Arabidopsis thaliana: one gene and its partners. The protein of the gene in region 1 binds, or shares a complex with, the protein of each later gene. Each region holds a gene or a part of one and is shown in the gene's direction. Other genes may lie near its edges.

Region 1 (6,327 bases):
CCCCTATTTCGGTTTCATTGACCTCTATCTTCTCTGACCGCGAAATAAACCGAAGCGGGTCAGAGTTCAACTCTCGTGATGTCTCTGGGACGAGCACAGAATCATCCATGGGGAGGAAGAACTCGTACCCTCCGGTGTCTACTAGAGCAAGTAATCTCAGAGAGTTCAGCATTACTGATCTCAAGTCTGCAACAAAGAACTTTAGCCGATCTGTTATGATTGGAGAAGGCGGTTTCGGTTGTGTCTTCAGGGGCACAGTGAGGAACTTAGAGGACTCGTCAGTTAAAATCGAAGTCGCAGTGAAGCAGCTCGGTAAAAGAGGGTTGCAGGTATGTCTGTTTTTTCCAATCTTGTTCTCAAGATCTGTTACTCATCCACTGGTTTAACACTATTATCTCATTTCTTGGATGTTGCAGGGGCATAAGGAATGGGTTACGGAAGTGAACTTCCTCGGAATAGTTGAGCATACAAACTTGGTGAAATTGCTTGGCTATTGTGCAGAAGATGATGAACGTGGAATCCAACGGCTTTTGGTTTATGAATACATGCCTAACCGAAGTGTTGAATTCCACTTATCCCCTCGGTCACTCACAGTTCTTACTTGGGACCTCAGACTGAGAATCGCCCAAGATGCAGCTCGCGGATTAACATACCTGCATGAAGAAATGGAGTTTCAGGTAATATGATGACTCTGCTACGTTACTGATCTCATTTCACTCTCTTGACTAACTTTTATTTATTGGCTTTTCAGATAATATTCCGCGATTTCAAGTCCTCGAACATTCTTTTGGATGAGGACTGGAAAGCAAAGCTCTCAGATTTCGGTTTGGCTCGTTTAGGTCCATCTGAAGGATTAACCCATGTTTCTACTGATGTAAGTTCTGCATTCACTTCTTTTGGTTGCAAGATTGAAAAACAGGTATGTTTTTGAACGGGTTTCTTTGGCTTTATTAGGTTGTAGGTACAATGGGTTATGCAGCACCTGAATACATTCAAACCGGCCGTCTCACATCGAAAAGCGATGTGTGGGGTTATGGAGTCTTCCTCTATGAGCTTATCACTGGGAGGCGACCGGTGGACAGAAACAGACCCAAGGGAGAGCAGAAGCTTCTAGAATGGGTGAGACCTTATTTATCTGACACAAGGAAGTTCAAGCTCATATTAGATCCAAGGCTGGAAGGGAAGTACCCGATCAAATCGGTTCAAAAGCTAGCAGTTGTGGCCAACAGATGTTTGGTTAGGAACTCAAAGGCACGTCCCAAGATGAGTGAGGTTTTAGAGATGGTGAACAAAATTGTGGAAGCTTCTTCAGGAAATGGCAGCCCACAGCTAGTTCCGCTGAACAGTGTAAAAGCTTCGAGAGACGCGAGAGGAAAGAACAATGGTGGTGGCGGTGAAGGAGGTTGGTTTGGCAAGTTATGGAATCCAAAGACAATAAGAGCTTGTTGACTGCTTATAGAATTCAACCTCTTCTTACAGCAAAAAAAAGAGTCAAGAAAGGTTTCATGGAGATTCCGAAGGTTGAAGATTCTAGCGAGATCAAGATGAAGCTCATATACATACATAAAGATAATTATATATGAAGATTTGTGAAAGATTCTAAAATGATGAAATATGATTTTTGTATGAACTTATGAATAGTAACCACAGCTAAATTAGTAAGATATGTATATTAAGCAAGAACGGCTTATCAGAGTTTTGTTCCAAAGCTGATCAATCTACTCGTGCTTAAGTGTATATTTGTGGTAATGTGTTAAGAGTTCCTATTAATTACCATAAGTAAATCACAAACATAAATAAAATGAAAATAATTATGGGCTTTAAGGTCTGGAGGACTACTGAAATTTGGGAGAAGTAGTTGGAAAAAGAATATTAGTCGATAGGTAGGAAATTGATATTGCTTGTGGAATGGAGGAAAAAATTGAACGAAAAAGAAGTTTCTAGAATTCTAATCACATAACATAAATAGGGTGAATATTTGGGAAAAGTAAAACAATAGGGGTCGGTTTGATATTACTAGAAGATAAGAAACAAAAAGGAAAATAAGAATAAAGGAAAAAAAAAGAGCTCTCTTTTCCAACAAGAAACGTAGAGAGATATAATTAGAGAAAATCTGTGCTCTTTCAGATCCCATTATCACAAATCCATCTCTCTCTCTCTCTCAGAGAAGAAACCAAAGAAGAAGAAAAAGCTCTCAACTTTCTTCGATTTCTCAGGGAACTCTTTCGTTAATCTCAAACTCAATCATGTCTACCCCAGCTGAATCTTCAGACTCGTAAGTACCCAGATCTCTGATTTTGGTTTTCCGATCGGGATTTTTTTCGGATCTTCTTAAAGTCTGGGTTTTTCGATTTTGGGGATTAGGGTTTTGGTTGATCTTGTGTTTCTATAGTTGAATCTTAATCTTCTTTGTTGTTGTTACAGGAAATCGAAGAAAGATTTCAGTACTGCTATTCTCGAGAGGAAGAAGTCTCCGAACCGTCTCGTCGTCGATGAGGCTATCAACGATGATAACTCCGTCGTCTCTCTTCACCCTGCAACCATGGAGAAGCTTCAGCTCTTCCGTGGTGATACCATTCTCATCAAGGTTTGGGTTTGCTTTTGTTTGTTTGGATTCTCTTTTGATTGAGATATTGAATGGTTGGTTTCTGTCTCTATGAAGAGACATAATTTAGGGTTTTTTCTCCTTGCTTGATTAATGGATTCTTATGTGGTTCTACATAAACTAGGGTTTGTGGTCTTTTGAAACAAGTGATTTATGATCTTAGGTATTATACAAAATAAAAAGACTTGCTTTTGTACTGATCCTGTCTTGGTGAATGATTCGTATTAGTAGTCTTTATGAGTTCTTATTTGGTTTGGATTTTGGCTTTCAGGGTAAGAAGAGGAAGGACACTGTCTGCATTGCTCTTGCTGATGAGACATGTGAGGAGCCAAAGATCAGAATGAATAAAGTAGTCAGATCTAACTTGAGGGTTAGACTGGGAGATGTTATATCTGTTCACCAATGCCCAGACGTCAAGTACGGAAAGCGTGTTCACATCCTGCCTGTTGATGATACTGTTGAAGGAGTGACTGGAAACCTATTTGATGCTTACCTGAAACGTAAGTTGCCTTTTTGTTTTAGATCCTTATCCAGTTATGCAATTTTGATTTTTCTTTGGATGTTCTTGTTTGGTTTGAGATATTATTAGAGTGATTTCTTAACAAAGATTGAATTCTTTTCAACAGCTTATTTCCTTGAGGCATACCGTCCAGTGAGGAAGGGTGATCTCTTCCTAGTCAGAGGAGGAATGAGGAGTGTGGAGTTCAAAGTTATAGAGACAGATCCTGCTGAGTACTGCGTGGTTGCTCCAGACACAGAGATTTTCTGTGAGGGTGAGCCTGTGAAGAGAGAGGATGAAGAAAGGCTAGATGATGTAGGTTATGATGATGTTGGTGGTGTCAGGAAACAGATGGCTCAGATTAGGGAACTTGTTGAACTTCCCTTGAGGCATCCACAGCTATTCAAGTCGATTGGTGTTAAGCCACCGAAGGGAATTCTTCTTTATGGACCACCTGGGTCTGGAAAGACTTTGATCGCTCGTGCTGTGGCTAATGAAACGGGTGCCTTTTTCTTCTGTATCAACGGACCTGAGATCATGTCCAAATTGGCTGGTGAGAGTGAGAGCAACCTCAGGAAAGCATTCGAGGAGGCTGAGAAAAATGCGCCTTCAATCATATTCATTGATGAGATCGACTCTATTGCACCGAAAAGAGAGAAGACTAATGGAGAGGTTGAGAGGAGGATTGTCTCTCAGCTCCTTACGCTAATGGATGGACTGAAATCTCGTGCTCATGTTATCGTCATGGGAGCAACCAATCGCCCCAACAGTATCGACCCAGCTTTGAGAAGGTTTGGAAGATTTGACAGGGAGATCGATATTGGAGTTCCTGACGAAATTGGACGTCTTGAAGTTCTGAGGATCCATACAAAGAACATGAAGCTGGCTGAAGATGTAATTTTCTAGTCATAGCTTTTTCTGTGTTTGTTGAGTGTAATGTTTATTGAATGCTAAATTCTTCTTGTGGTTGTTTTCCAGGTGGATCTCGAAAGGATCTCAAAGGACACACACGGTTACGTCGGTGCTGATCTTGCAGCTTTGTGCACAGAGGCCGCCCTGCAATGCATCAGGGAGAAGATGGATGTGATTGATCTGGAAGATGACTCCATAGACGCTGAAATCCTCAATTCCATGGCAGTCACTAATGAACATTTCCACACTGCTCTCGGGAACAGCAACCCATCTGCACTTCGTGAAACTGTGAGTATTGACAGTACTCTGCTTAGAACGAGATCAAAGATTGTATCTTTGCGTAAATCTCATTCCAAATTTTCTTCTTTGCTTTGCAGGTTGTGGAGGTTCCCAACGTCTCTTGGAATGATATTGGAGGTCTTGAGAATGTCAAGAGAGAGCTCCAGGAGGTAAATTGCTAATATTTACTTTTGCTTGGGTCTGTCTATTAATTGTAATTTGTAACCTGAGCCGTGTGATTGTTCAAATGCAGACTGTTCAATACCCAGTCGAGCACCCAGAGAAGTTTGAGAAATTCGGGATGTCTCCATCAAAGGGAGTCCTTTTCTACGGTCCTCCTGGATGTGGGAAAACCCTTTTGGCCAAAGCTATTGCCAACGAGTGCCAAGCTAATTTCATCAGTGTCAAGGGTCCCGAGCTTCTGACAATGTGGTTTGGAGAGAGTGAAGCAAATGTTCGTGAAATCTTCGACAAGGCCCGTCAATCCGCTCCATGTGTTCTTTTCTTTGATGAGCTCGACTCCATTGCAACTCAGAGAGGAGGTGGAAGTGGTGGCGATGGAGGTGGTGCTGCGGACAGAGTCTTGAACCAGCTTTTGACTGAGATGGACGGAATGAATGCCAAGAAAACCGTCTTCATCATCGGAGCTACCAACAGACCTGACATTATCGATTCAGCTCTTCTCCGTCCTGGAAGGCTTGACCAGCTCATTTACATTCCACTACCAGATGAGGATTCCCGTCTCAATATCTTCAAGGCCGCCTTGAGGAAATCTCCTATTGCTAAAGATGTAGACATCGGTGCACTTGCTAAATACACTCAGGGTTTCAGTGGTGCTGATATCACTGAGATTTGCCAGAGAGCTTGCAAGTACGCCATCAGAGAAAACATTGAGAAGGTTAGAGATCCCATCGCCAAGCTCTTTATCCAAAGATTGTTATACTCTCCAATCGTTGAACTGAAGCTCATGTTTTTTTTTTGTTTCAGGACATTGAAAAGGAGAAGAGGAGGAGCGAGAACCCAGAGGCAATGGAGGAAGATGGAGTGGATGAAGTATCAGAGATCAAAGCTGCACACTTTGAGGAGTCGATGAAGTATGCGCGTAGGAGTGTGAGTGATGCAGACATCAGGAAGTACCAAGCCTTTGCTCAGACGTTGCAGCAGTCTAGAGGGTTCGGTTCTGAGTTCAGGTTCGAGAATTCTGCTGGTTCAGGTGCCACCACTGGAGTCGCAGATCCGTTTGCCACGTCTGCAGCCGCTGCTGGGGACGATGATGATCTCTACAATTAGTGATAACTTCTTTATCCTTTTTTTTTTTAAGTTTTAAAACTCGAATTCTCTACTTTTGGATTACTGGGGAAAGTGATACTGATTCTTTCCTCGTGTTTTTAAGTTATCCGAATCTCTTGTGTTTGGGTTTTAATCAATGTTCTTAATTTTCGTTTCAATACTTGTTTGGTCGTTCATTACAAATGGAAAAAATAAAGGATTATAAAGTAAGTTAAAAAGATTGCAAGTGATAAGTAATTGCTTTATAAGTGGTAAGTATCACAAATGTTCCCACTTATCAGCAATTTCCGCATATCAATGTTAATGCTCTAAGATCGGTACTTTCTTTTATAGAATCTTGGAGCCGAGGATGTATTTTTTTTTGCATCAATGGTGGTTAAAGAAGCCAAAAGAAAGGATGCTTTATTATGTCAACAACATTGATGTCAAGATAACAACAAAGCTGCTCCCAAGTCTTAAACATAAATTGAACAAAGGCCACATGTTGAAGATTGAAGATGAACATACTTAAAAACGATATCTTACTGTTCTTGTTCAAACATTGACCGTTAAATACTTCAATGTTTAGCCTTCAGCACCTATTCCACGTGCTCTAGGACGTCTGACAGCGACCAGCGGATTGACTATGCCTTGTGACTCTCTACCCAGACCCGAGCCTTCGACGAAACCCATTCTCGCCATCATCCTCGACCCAAAGCCTGTTGTGTGCTGCTCAAAGGCTCCCAATCTTTTGTCCCTGATT
Region 2 (4,304 bases), 2.5 Mb from region 1:
TTTTTTTTTGTCTTGTGCTCTGTTTCTTGTGTCTACAAGTTGTTACAAGAGAATTATCTTTCTGTTCCTTATATATGTATATATGTATCTCCAGATAATCGCCCTTAGAAGGGCAAAGAGGAGGAACATGGAACGTTTGGTTTTGGCATGTGGTGGAGAAGCTGTGAACTCTGTCGATGACTTGACCCCTGATTGTCTTGGTTGGGCTGGACTTGTATATGAGCACGTTCTTGGAGAGGAGAAGTACACATTTGTTGAGCAAGTGAAGAATCCTCATTCATGTACTATCCTCATAAAAGGTACAAATGCCCAAACTTCTATCTCTTGCCAGCTAAGTTTTGAAGATCAATTTTGCTTATCTTCATATGTGTGGTCATTGATTATCTATGATTATGATTTGGTTTTCTTTATAGGGCCTAATGACCACACTATTGCTCAAATTAAGGACGCTGTCCGTGATGGTTTAAGATCAGTTAAGAATACCCTAGAAGATGAGTGTGTCGTATTAGTAAGTACCTTCTTCTCCACAAAGATCAAATCCATTGCTATATCAGTGTGATTGTTTTGGTTTTGGGCGCATGTGGTTTATTGACATCTGTTTCTTTCTGTAGGGAGCTGGAGCTTTTGAAGTTGCAGCAAGACAACACTTAATCAATGAAGTCAAGAAAACCGTTCAAGGGGTGAGTAGAAAGCAATATTCCTTTGCTCCAATACCAATTCTTGTTTTTTTCCGGTTGCTAATGTAAATTGTGGGCAAATTGCAGCGCGCTCAACTCGGTGTTGAAGCTTTTGCTAATGCCCTTCTCGTAGTGCCTAAGACGCTTGCTGAAAATGCTGGGCTTGACACTCAAGACGTTATCATTTCTCTAACGGTATTATTCTTGTATTTTCCTCTTCTGCCACTATCGATTATGCTCCAAGTAAAATTATGTTTGTGTTTATCTACTGAGTTTCGATGTATATACAGAGTGAGCATGACAAAGGAAACATCGTGGGACTAGACCTACAGGATGGAGAACCCGTCGACCCTCAGCTTGCCGGCATTTTCGACAATTACTCGGTGAAACGCCAACTTATCAATTCAGGGTATGTGCAGAACCAAATGGAAATTTGTATAATGGAGTCTTTTAATTCAGTTGCGGTTGAGTTCAGGTTGTTAAAACGGTTGTTTGGTATTGTATTGCAGGCCGGTGATTGCTTCGCAGTTGCTATTAGTGGATGAAGTGATTCGTGCAGGAAGAAATATGAGGAAGCCTACTTAAAACAAGACTATCTTTTGTTTTCAATTTTTTCTTACTTTCCCTTTCGTGTTTTGAGTATTAGCATATGAATACTATTTATTTTTTACTCGTTATCCTTTGTTGTCTTAGATAATTTTGAATGTATCTTTTTTTTCTATCTTTTGTATCAAACAAACATGATGAATGTTTTGATTGTGGTTTCTAGCGAAAACAGAACAAGATAAAGATTTCAGAATTTTAAGAAAATGGAACCAGATTTATGTGTAAACAAACGCAATTAAAAGTCAAATCAACAACAATGCACGGCATACTTTAATTGATTTTTATTTTTCTAGTAACGGAGTCAAGGCCCAATTAAATTATTTATTTTCCACGATCATTAAAGTCTTTAACGGGTCAACACCGTTAGACACTTGTCATACTATTACTGGGCCTTATTTTTCTCTTTACTTTCTCTGAAAATCAAAGCCCATCTCTTCTTCCTTTTTTTTCCCCTAATTTCTCACTTCCCCCTCATTTCGCGTCTCGACCTTCGAATTCGACAAATCCCTAATTCCAAAATCCTCTCGGTAAGCTACGGATCTAGTCTCTCTTTTGCTCATAGTTCGACGAAATCGTCTCTCTGTTGCTCGTTCATGTTTTCGTTTCGTTTTGTGGACTTAATCTTCTCTGTGTTCGTTGTTATCTGGAGATCTGGCAAAATCTCGAATGATTTTGATAGATTCTAGGTTTCTAGGTGTATCTATCGGTATAGTGTTCGTTTTGTCTTGATTTGTTGGTCTCGACGATTTATCTGTTGTTTCTTTTGTTTTGTTGGGAATAATGTTGATATAGCCAAGCTACTGTGATGTTGATGAAGTTTGAAATGAATTTTTGAAAACAGGATCTAAAAGAGTGTGTGATAACATAAGATGTCGTCTTCTCGGGAAGAGAATGTGTACTTAGCCAAGTTAGCTGAGCAAGCTGAACGTTATGAGGAAATGGTTGAGTTCATGGAGAAAGTTGCAAAGACTGTTGACACCGATGAGCTTACTGTCGAAGAGAGAAACCTCTTGTCTGTTGCTTACAAGAACGTCATTGGTGCTAGGAGAGCTTCCTGGAGGATCATATCTTCCATTGAACAGAAGGAAGAAAGCAGAGGAAACGATGATCATGTTTCCATTATCAAGGACTACAGAGGAAAGATCGAAACTGAACTCAGCAAAATCTGTGATGGAATACTCAATCTTCTGGATTCTCACCTTGTTCCCACTGCATCTTTGGCCGAGTCCAAAGTCTTTTACCTCAAAATGAAAGGAGATTACCACAGGTACCTTGCTGAGTTTAAGACTGGAGCTGAGAGGAAAGAAGCTGCTGAGAGCACTCTGGTTGCTTACAAGTCAGCTCAGGTAAACTCTTTAAGTTTCAACATCTATCTATCTTATTTTGCTGCTTGAGACCAGTAAAGGAGCTGTCATGATGAATGCTTATGTGTGTTTTTCTTCTAATGTAGGATATTGCACTTGCTGATTTAGCTCCTACTCATCCGATTAGACTGGGACTTGCTCTTAACTTCTCTGTCTTCTACTACGAGATTCTCAACTCACCTGATCGTGCCTGCAGTCTCGCAAAACAGGTTTGTATTTTGTCATACGGGATGTTATGATGCTTCCAGACTTTGTAACACTTATTCCAGCACCAAATTGCTTAATGATATTCTCTCAATTGTTTTGACAGGCTTTTGATGAGGCCATTTCTGAGCTGGATACATTAGGAGAAGAATCATACAAAGACAGTACGTTGATAATGCAACTTCTCCGTGACAATCTGACCCTTTGGAACTCTGACATCAATGTACACCTTTGTCTTCCTCCTTTTGCTTTTCCCTATAAACTCTTATATATGCAGTCTAAGCTTCTTTTACTCAGAAATTTCTCTCAAACGCTGATTGTGTTGCTGATTTTTAGGATGAGGCGGGCGGTGATGAGATCAAGGAGGCGTCAAAACATGAGCCGGAAGAGGGGAAACCAGCTGAGACAGGGCAGTGACCAGAGAGAGAGGGAGAGACATTTCTAAGTATGTATGGTATGGATTTTCCAAAAACATATGATATGATTAGGGGATTTGTAGAAGCAGAGAGAAAGATCTTTATTTGATTTTCTCCAAAAATCTCTGTTCCCTTTTTTTTTTATTGGGTTATTAAAGCTGTTTGAGTCTTTGGTTCCTGCTTCGTTGCTTGTTAGTATTTAGGAAGTGAAGAAACAAAACTTTGAATTATTGCTTTCCATTCAACTCGTCATAAATTATCATAATCAGTGTATTATTTACTTAGTTCTTATTAGGGTATTCTGATTTTTGCTTAACGCAACAGAATTTGTGTTAACCCATTTTTAAAGAATCTTCAATCTTGTATCATTGGTCGGGTCAGTCGGATATATGGTCCGCTTTTGGTTTAAGACCGGAACAACGAAAGCCGGGGATATTGAGCCTTTCTGATGATGCGCCTCCGGGCGGTAATGCTATTGGGACATGGATTACATTCTGATCAATAGGGACTAATAGTATGGATTTACTTTGTACTTCAGACTAGGGTTTTTTTTTTTTTTTTTTTTTTTTTTTTTTTAAATATTATTAATCCTCATCCCAAATGACCTTGGGCCGCAACAAAAACAACATCAAATCCAGTTACAAAATTAGCAAATCGGAAAACATGTCGGCAAAGAAGGAAGATCGCCGCTTGTTGATGGAAGCTAGCAGAGAGACCGGAGCATTAGATCCGGCGGGCTCAAGCCCTACAGTTTCGAGGCCGCAACCGATGCTCGAGAAACTCCGACGAAAGAGACCGGTTTTCGTCCTCGAATCAACCCCACCGGCGCACCAACCCACCACAAGACTCCCAGAAAGCTAGTCTCCCCAACAAGCACATCGACGGCACCGGATTCTGAAGAAGCAATCCGATACACTGGACGGTAACCCTTCCTTCCCAAACCGGTACAGATCCGAAATCCCAGAGCTATTGCGTTTCAACCGGCTCGATGGATGCAAAATTGTGACAAATCTAAAGGAAGGTGGCTCAACCGAAGC
Region 3 (7,612 bases), on another chromosome or scaffold:
AGATACAACGCAACTCGGCCATGATCCTATTTGAAGACCTTGTAAAAGCATCTCTTGCATGGTATAGAGCCAAACCATTAACATCACGAGCAATCCAAGCTACCCCACTCATCATGTCAGCATTTCCCCAATGAGCATTCACATTACACTTAACAATTCCAAAGTCTGGAGGAGTCCAGTTAAGATCCAAGCTCGTCCCCCGAACAAAGCATGCGCCATATGTATCTATCTGTCGCGCATTAAGCCACCGTTCCTCTTCTTCAACCCCTATGGATCCTTGTACACTCAAATCCACATGTCTACCTGCAAGCAATTTATCATTTTTATTAAACAAATTAAAGATAAAATTTCTGAATTATTAGTTAGATACAAGTTACAAGAAAAATTGCAAAATTCTAGCTATCGTCTTTTTAAAAACAAACGTTAGACATTAGGCTAATTGTATAGTTTATGATAAAAGGACAACGACATCAAATTAAAAAGATTACAAAACTCATTAGCCATACAAAAGTTAAAAACTCACAAGAGTGTTAAACACAAAATTGACAAGAACCATATAGATTTAAATTGATATATCAAAGAGAGAAGGTTCAGTTACGATTTATGTGTCCTCTGTGATGAGCAATCATGACTTGAGAAGTAGACAATAGCATCGTCTCTTGAACCTTGTTTAAAGGTCTGACCGGCCGTTTTGTTAACCAACTGAAAGATTCTAACAACAAATTTTCTTATATATATGCTTTACCAATTGTTGTCTTTGAACAACCATAAAAAACAAAAAACAAATTGAGAGTTCTTAAATACACAAAATTGAGAAGGTAGTGAATGAAGACTATTATTATGTTACCAAATTATATATTCGTATATGTTTACCACATTTAAAGCATAGTCAATAAAAAATAAAAACGTTACCAAATGGATAATATATTGAAAGTTGATTAGTAAGTATCATTTATGTAATTTCCATCTCGTGTATGCATAATTGTATGCATATTGGTATTATAAATTCATATGGGACTTTAAAAATGGAGTAGTTGCATTTGTTGATAAAACAAAAGAAAATGGAAGTTCTCTCTGATTCAAGAATAAAGGTAACTGTAACATGTTTTATACTCACATAGACATTTTTGATTACTATGTTTTACAAGATTTTAGGAAAATGACTTGTGTGCGTGTGTGTGCTTGTCTGTTGCATAAAAGAGAAGAGCACAAGACTGATATTTACGATTGGTATATTAGAATGCATTATACATTCATGTTTAAATTTTACTGCATTAGGGATTACATTTTGTTATTTTTTGTGCTAACTAATTTATTTTGATTAGTAATCATTTATCACAACGGTAAGAAGTACTATTCCGTTATTTCTGTTACCCTACAAAAAGCAGTAAGCTTTTGATTAATAATCATATATCGCAATGGTAAGAAGTATACTGTTATTTCTCTTATCCAATTCCTGCTTTTGATTAGCAATCATATATTGCAATGATAAAAAATAATCGGATATTTTTTGTTACCAAATACATAAGGCGGTAAGATTAACAATGCCAAAACGTTACCATCGTTATTTTTGTACCTCTATATTATACCAATTTTTCTAGATGTTACTCGAAATACATCTAAACATAAATAAGTCATCTCGATCGAAAAACTTTTCATTAACAATGAGATTTCTAGAATCATATCTACATATCACTTAAGTCTTCAAAAACATAACCTTTTTCTTTACAAGATTCTTGATAATTCTAATCTATTTAATTTGTTTTTTTTCAAAAAATTAAAACCATAAATCAAGTGTAAAAAACAAAAAAAATCTCATAATCTATAGCGTAATCCACATATTAACCAATAGTAACTCGTGGAGGTGATAATTATATAGCTTAATCCAACCCTAGCCAATCATGTAAAGCGTTAGGGATAATGTACTCTTAGAGTCTATCGACCAGTGAAAATAAAAAGACAGTGAAAATACGATAAGAGAAAGAAAAAAAAAAAACAGAGAAGGTAAGAAAAATTCAAAGCGAGGTTCTCGGGAACCAATCTGGAAGGAGGAGGGGTGCAGAGAGAGAGAGAGAGAGAGAGAAGCGAAGACGATGGCGATGATAGGGATGAACATTATTGGGCTATTCATGGTTCTTATGTTGCTTCTCATCTCCCTCATCATCCTTTTCGCCTGCAAGCCATGGCGATATTTTTCTCGTTTCCGATCCTCCTCTCGTTTTTCTTCTACCTTCAAGGTTTCTTCTTCCTCTTCCTCTTATCTCATTCTCTATTCAATTTTCAGAGTCTTCGTTCCACGGCTTCGTTTTTTGATTTTTGATTCGATTTTATGTCGGATGGTTTGTTTTCGCGAAATGATCAATTGATAAAGGATTTGATCATCAGTGACAAGTGTTACGTCGCTGGATCATGATGCTTTTCTCGTGGATTCCGATAGTAGTTGGGGTTATTTGGCGATTTCGTTGATTGATTTTGTCGACGTGGGGGCGGTGAGATATATATTGTGTGTTTGGTTTCTGAAATAATCTGATTGACTTTTTGGAGATGATAATGTGTTGTTGAGTTTTCTCACTGTTGAAAAATTAGGATTCTTTTGTTGTTGTTAGATTCTTTTGAAGCTCAAGAGTTGATAGATTCGTTTGGTTTATAATGAGTGTGGCTGGATTTTCTCTGCCTGCTCGATTTGCACAAAATGGTTTTGTTTGAATAAAGCGTAATGGCCGTTTCAGCTTCTTTTGTGTGCTATGTTTTCTTCTTCTTCTCTAGCCATGGCTAATTGACATTTTCAACGGCTCAAACTGTTGATGTGCACTTAGACAGACATTGGAAGTAGGGAACTCTTGTGAATTTGCTTGCGAAAACTGTCGATTTGTTTCTGAATTTGGACATTGGTGCTTATATATTAGGCAATGTGAATGTTGCCAAGAACTCAGTTTCAGTGTGGGAAATTATCGTGGGAGAACTTCTTCCTCATTAGTTACCTTTTTGTAGGAATTCTGTGAGTTTTGTTTTTTTTGTATTTTTGTCTTTCTACCGGAGAAATGGTAACAAATGAATGAAAAAGGTGAAATCAGCTGTTCATTCATTTCCTAGCTCTGTTATACTCTACTCCTTACTAATCTAATAGGCGGTTTTACTCTCACTGGAAATAGGATACAGCTCATCCATCTAGTCTTTTCGCTTGTAGATTTCATTTGTTTGCAATTTCTCCATAACTTGGATAACATACTAAAATTGTATAAGAACTAAATCCACCTTATTATTACTACATTCTTCATATAGGGAAATATTGAGTTTCTCATCTTTCAGCTATTGAGTATCCAGTTTACGCAACTTTTTTTTTGCTCCTAGCCCTAATTCTTTCAGCGCCATTGTTTGCAGGTGGGGGATTTGCAGAGACCACTTATTTCTGATGATGGAAATTTGATCCAAGGACAAACCAGTGAGGTAACAAGGGAATATGATTTAGAGGGAGCTTGCTACCAAAATGATGGACTTTTGCATTCATCTCTGACTGAGGGACGGTTTTACAAACAAAGGCTTCCTTCGTCATCTCCCCATTTCTCCCAAGGTACTCATTGCCTCTTTCCTCCCCTGCTATGTCCAGCTCTGGTAGACAAGTTGGATTGACTCTAGATCATTAGCGTGATGGAAATGATACAGTTGTATCAGAAACATCCTCTTTGCATTATGAACTCTATGCATCACTCATTCTTGACCTTACCAATCTGCCCTAACTTATGTAGGTGAAAGCTTTGTTCTAGAAGTAATTTCTGAACCTTCTGACAATGCTTTGGTGGGCCAAACGCTTAAACTTCCAGCTGAAAAAGGTTCCTTGGCAGAAGTGCAAACATATGACTGGCAGAATAACAGAAATGAAAACTTGCAATATAATCTGGAAAAGGATCGACTTATTAATCTTTCTCCGAGGCTCGTGGAAGATCAAAGTAATTTCTTATTCTTTTGCTTGCCTAGGGTGTGTAATACAACTTCAATCCATTTTTTGAATTACTTGTGCAAGACATATATCATATTTTGTGTTAGAAGTGCAGGAAGTTGGCTGTTCCTGGAAGTCATCGCGGGTCCTGCCATTGGGCTTCAACATGCTGTGAACTCCACAAGTTCCTCCAAGCTGCCAGTGAAACTTGGAAGGGTTTCTCCTTCTGATTTGGCATTGAAGGACTCAGAAGTCTCTGGGAAACATGCACAGATAACATGGAACTCTACTGTAAGGAGCTATGTAGATTTATTTATACGACTTCTGCATGCCACTTCTTACACTGTGCGTCACACCTGCCTGGTTTTGATTTCAGAAATTTAAATGGGAGCTGGTAGATATGGGTAGCCTAAATGGAACTCTCGTAAACTCTCATTCAATAAGTCATCCTGATTTAGGCAGCCGGAAGTGGGGTAACCCTGTCGAGCTTGCAAGTGATGATATAATAACTTTGGGAACAACAACAAAGGTCTATGTAAGTCAATCTGAGTGGTGAAGGTGCTTGCTGGTAATTTTTTTTGTTTCCCTTGTTAATTTCATGCAATTTCTTTTCATCTTTGGAAGGTCCGTATCTCCTCTCAGAATGAGTTTCAGATACCCTTCAAAATTGGTGTGGCCTCAGATCCCATGGCTATGCGTCGAGGAGGCAGGAAACTTCCGATGGAAGATGTTTGTCATTACAAGTGGCCGCTTCCTGGGGCTAATAAGGTTACCTTGATTAGTGATTTGAGTTGTATGTATGATGATGGGCTTCGCTGCTTTTGATAACATAATTCCAAATGTATATGGTTTCAGTTTGGACTGTTTTGTGTTTGTGATGGACATGGGGGATCAGGGGCTGCTCAATCCGCAATCAAGTGAGTCTTTCTTAAAAAAATCCAAATCACCTCTATTAACTATTTCTTTTATAAAATCCTCCTCGATAGGTCTTATTTTGGGTTTTCTTTGTATGCTTAACCTACGAAATGTCCTAACCTGAAAAAGGCTGCGGTTTTGGCTGTGTTTAAACTTCTAACAGCATCCGCCTTTCTGAGTTTTTCTTTATTGTTTTTGCTTCATTTATTAATCAACTTCTTATGTAGTTTAAAATTTTTAGCTGCATGTGATTAGCCATGCAAATGTGTTACAGTTAGGGCAGGCGTGGTTACAGCCGGGAACAAATATATGAAACTTTGTTCTGTTCATTTTTGTAAATGGGCTTAGTCATTATATGTTAGGAGCCTTCACTAACTACTGGAGCATCTTTGATTTACTTGTGTCTCCAACAACGGCAATTATATACTTGAATATATAAGCTAATTAAACTTCTTCTCCAGAATTATTCCGGAGGTTCTAGCGAATATTTTATCAGACTCGCTGAGGAAGGAGAAAGTGTTATCAAAAAGGGATGCTTCGGACGTCCTTAGGGACATGTTTGCTAAAACAGAAGCTCGCCTCGAAGAACACCAATATGAGGTATTTCAGTTTGTCCTTTTCTTTTCCTTTGATGGCATGTTTGCCTTCTTGACGACTTGGCTGGAACTTTTTCATTGCTTCCTACTTAATGAATTAGTTGATCGATGCAGGGTTGTACAGCTACTGTTCTCTTGGTTTGGAAAGACAATGAAGAAAACTTCTTCGCACAATGTGCCAATCTTGGGGATTCAGCATGTGTTATCCAGTACGTAAAAAATATTATATTGCTATTCTTGAGATTCGTAGTTGCTGAGCTTGCATTAACCAGACTTGTAGCAGCATTTCTTGGTGTAGAAAGAGGGAGGGGACTTGATTACTCAGATTAGAAACAAAGATCTTGCGTGTTTAAAGCGTGAGTGAGTGTGGTCTTCTTAATGAAAACCTCTTGGTTTGGAAACAGTAGATGATTACTAATATAGGCTTTATAGTAGAGTAAATAGACATCAATAGATGAGATTGTTTCACGTCGGAGTAGAATTTTTTTGGATAAGAAAAAGAATATTTGAATGTCGTTGCTTTGCTTTGTGGAAATAGAAAGAGAGTTTATCCCTACATCTTCCTTGATACGGATCTTAATTAATAATAAAAAATTCTGATAGTTGTTTTGCTCTTAGGAATTAATGGTCTCGGCATTATAATAGTAACTTCGACTTTCTTAACTGATTACGATTTGGTTTGCATTTGGCAGTCTTGGTGGCAGATATATACAAATGACTGAAGATCATCGAGTGGTTAGCTTGAGCGAGAGAAAACGATTCCAAGAAGCAGGACTAGCCTTGAGAGATGGAGAGACTCGGCTTTTTGGTATTAGCTCAATGAATTAAACACGCTCAGGTGATTGCAACTTCTTTGTAACAAAATGACCAAATCTGATGTGATAATTTTCTTCAGGTATAAACCTTGCGAGGATGCTTGGAGACAAGTTTCCAAAGCAACAAGACAGCCGTTTCAGTGCAGAGCCATATATAAGTGAGCCTTTGCGTATCGATCAATCTAGTAAAGACGTATTTGCTGTATTGGCTAGGTAAAAAAACATAAACATAAACATAATAAGCTTTTTCCCGTTTTCTGATTCTTGCTCGCTAATTTTTGAAATCCGAATACTGCAGTGACGGGTTATGGGACGTGGTAAGTCCGAAGAAAGCTGTGCAGCTTGTACTTCAGGTAAAATCAATTTCTACTCGTTGAGACATTTGCTATGTCTGAAAACGTCGATCTCATGTAATGTTTATGTTATGGCAGATGAGAGATAAAGAGAGAGGGAGAGAGAGTAGTGCGGAGAAGATAGCAAACGGTCTGCTGAATGAAGCTAGAGCGATGCGTACAAAGGACAACACCTCCATTATTTACTTAGATTTCGATACTTCCCTGTAATGTTAGGAAACATCTTTTAAGATATTTGGGAAGTGTCTTTCTTTTGTGTACCATCTTTTTATGTATTAGTATTTTTGTTAGGGTATAAGAGAGACAAAAAAACCTCAGATGCAGAGATTTAGGATGGATCGTCTTGGTGAGCGACATTGGTTTCATTATCTTTACTTATATAATTAATAATATTATCAGTTAAAGTTTCTGTTTCGTATTTTATTCTTTGGTGAGAATGAATTTCATCAGACAATACAACTTATCAGTTTAGTATGGACTATGGAGTCCGTAATTCTGAGTATTCATTGGTACTTTTGGATTTCGATTTTGGTTTTTGATTTTAGTATCAATACGGTTATTCTAGAGTTTCGGTTCAGTTTTGTTCCAGCTATTTCAGTTTTGTTCTTTTTACGATGTGTACGCAGGCACCAAAATAATACTATTTTGACTGTTGTTCGGTTAGAAGTAGAAAGAAAATCACAGATTTTGTAATAAAAATCTGCCTATTTTCGGAATGAACACGTATACAATTTTGACTGATATATATGGAATGAACCAAAATAGTCAACAGTCAAGAATTTCAAGAGATTTTGGGATTCTTTCCTCAAGTAATCTTACTACCTAATCTGAGTTTTGACTCAATAAATTTTAGTTTAACTTCCGTTTTAAAAATTGGAGTTGTTGTTCAACCTTTTGCATCGTACTAAAACAAATTAAGAAAAACAGAACCCCAAAAAGATTTGAAATTGAAAACAAAGCGGGCCCAAAAATCAGGAGTAGTTCGAGCGTCCACAC

What was found. Proteins that work in one complex are often made in the same cells at the same time.
Region 2: CDC48 (region 1) and GRF7 share a complex: the UniProt entries of both Arabidopsis thaliana proteins name them as parts of the SERK1 signaling complex.
Region 3: CDC48 (region 1) and KAPP share a complex: the UniProt entries of both Arabidopsis thaliana proteins name them as parts of the SERK1 signaling complex.

Annotation. Positions count from the first base shown.
Region 1 is NC_003074.8:3,017,248-3,023,574, forward strand, and holds CDC48 (cell division cycle 48), read left to right. Parts: upstream 1-2,001; 5' UTR 2,002-2,246; coding exon 2,247-2,275; intron 2,276-2,424; coding exon 2,425-2,587; intron 2,588-2,876; coding exon 2,877-3,105; intron 3,106-3,231; coding exon 3,232-3,998; intron 3,999-4,082; coding exon 4,083-4,304; intron 4,305-4,393; coding exon 4,394-4,465; intron 4,466-4,548; coding exon 4,549-5,193; intron 5,194-5,282; coding exon 5,283-5,585; 3' UTR 5,586-5,805; downstream 5,806-6,327. Other genes in the region: AT3G09830 (Protein kinase superfamily protein), read left to right, coding at 1-329, 417-677, 752-874, 955-1,449; AT3G09850 (D111/G-patch domain-containing protein), read right to left, coding at 6,150-6,327. UniProt on the Arabidopsis thaliana protein: Probably functions in cell division and growth processes. Interacts with certain SNAREs as part of specialized membrane fusion events where vesicles from the same organelle fuse (homotypic fusion).
Region 2 is NC_003074.8:525,764-530,067, reverse strand, and holds GRF7 (general regulatory factor 7), read left to right. Parts: upstream 1-1,679; 5' UTR 1,680-1,810; exon of another isoform or gene 1,811-1,989; intron 1,990-2,124; 5' UTR 2,125-2,152; coding exon 2,153-2,629; intron 2,630-2,733; coding exon 2,734-2,856; intron 2,857-2,957; coding exon 2,958-3,074; intron 3,075-3,187; coding exon 3,188-3,268; 3' UTR 3,269-3,775; downstream 3,776-4,304. Other genes in the region: AT3G02530 (TCP-1/cpn60 chaperonin family protein), read left to right, coding at 95-299, 414-508, 612-680, 765-872, 968-1,086, 1,187-1,262. UniProt on the Arabidopsis thaliana protein: Is associated with a DNA binding complex that binds to the G box, a well-characterized cis-acting DNA regulatory element found in plant genes.
Region 3 is NC_003076.8:6,486,357-6,493,968, forward strand, and holds KAPP (kinase associated protein phosphatase), read left to right. Parts: upstream 1-1,962; 5' UTR 1,963-2,093; coding exon 2,094-2,237; intron 2,238-3,381; coding exon 3,382-3,571; intron 3,572-3,746; coding exon 3,747-3,947; intron 3,948-4,052; coding exon 4,053-4,228; intron 4,229-4,313; coding exon 4,314-4,472; intron 4,473-4,561; coding exon 4,562-4,705; intron 4,706-4,792; coding exon 4,793-4,854; intron 4,855-5,313; coding exon 5,314-5,452; intron 5,453-5,562; coding exon 5,563-5,657; intron 5,658-5,778; coding exon 5,779-5,808; intron 5,809-6,140; coding exon 6,141-6,256; intron 6,257-6,343; coding exon 6,344-6,476; intron 6,477-6,561; coding exon 6,562-6,616; intron 6,617-6,694; coding exon 6,695-6,826; 3' UTR 6,827-7,083; downstream 7,084-7,612. Other genes in the region: AT5G19270 (reverse transcriptase-like protein), read right to left, coding at 1-303, 599-653. UniProt on the Arabidopsis thaliana protein: Dephosphorylates the Ser/Thr receptor-like kinase RLK5. May function as a signaling component in a pathway involving RLK5. Binds and dephosphorylates CLAVATA1 (CLV1). Functions as a negative regulator of the CLV1 signaling in plant development.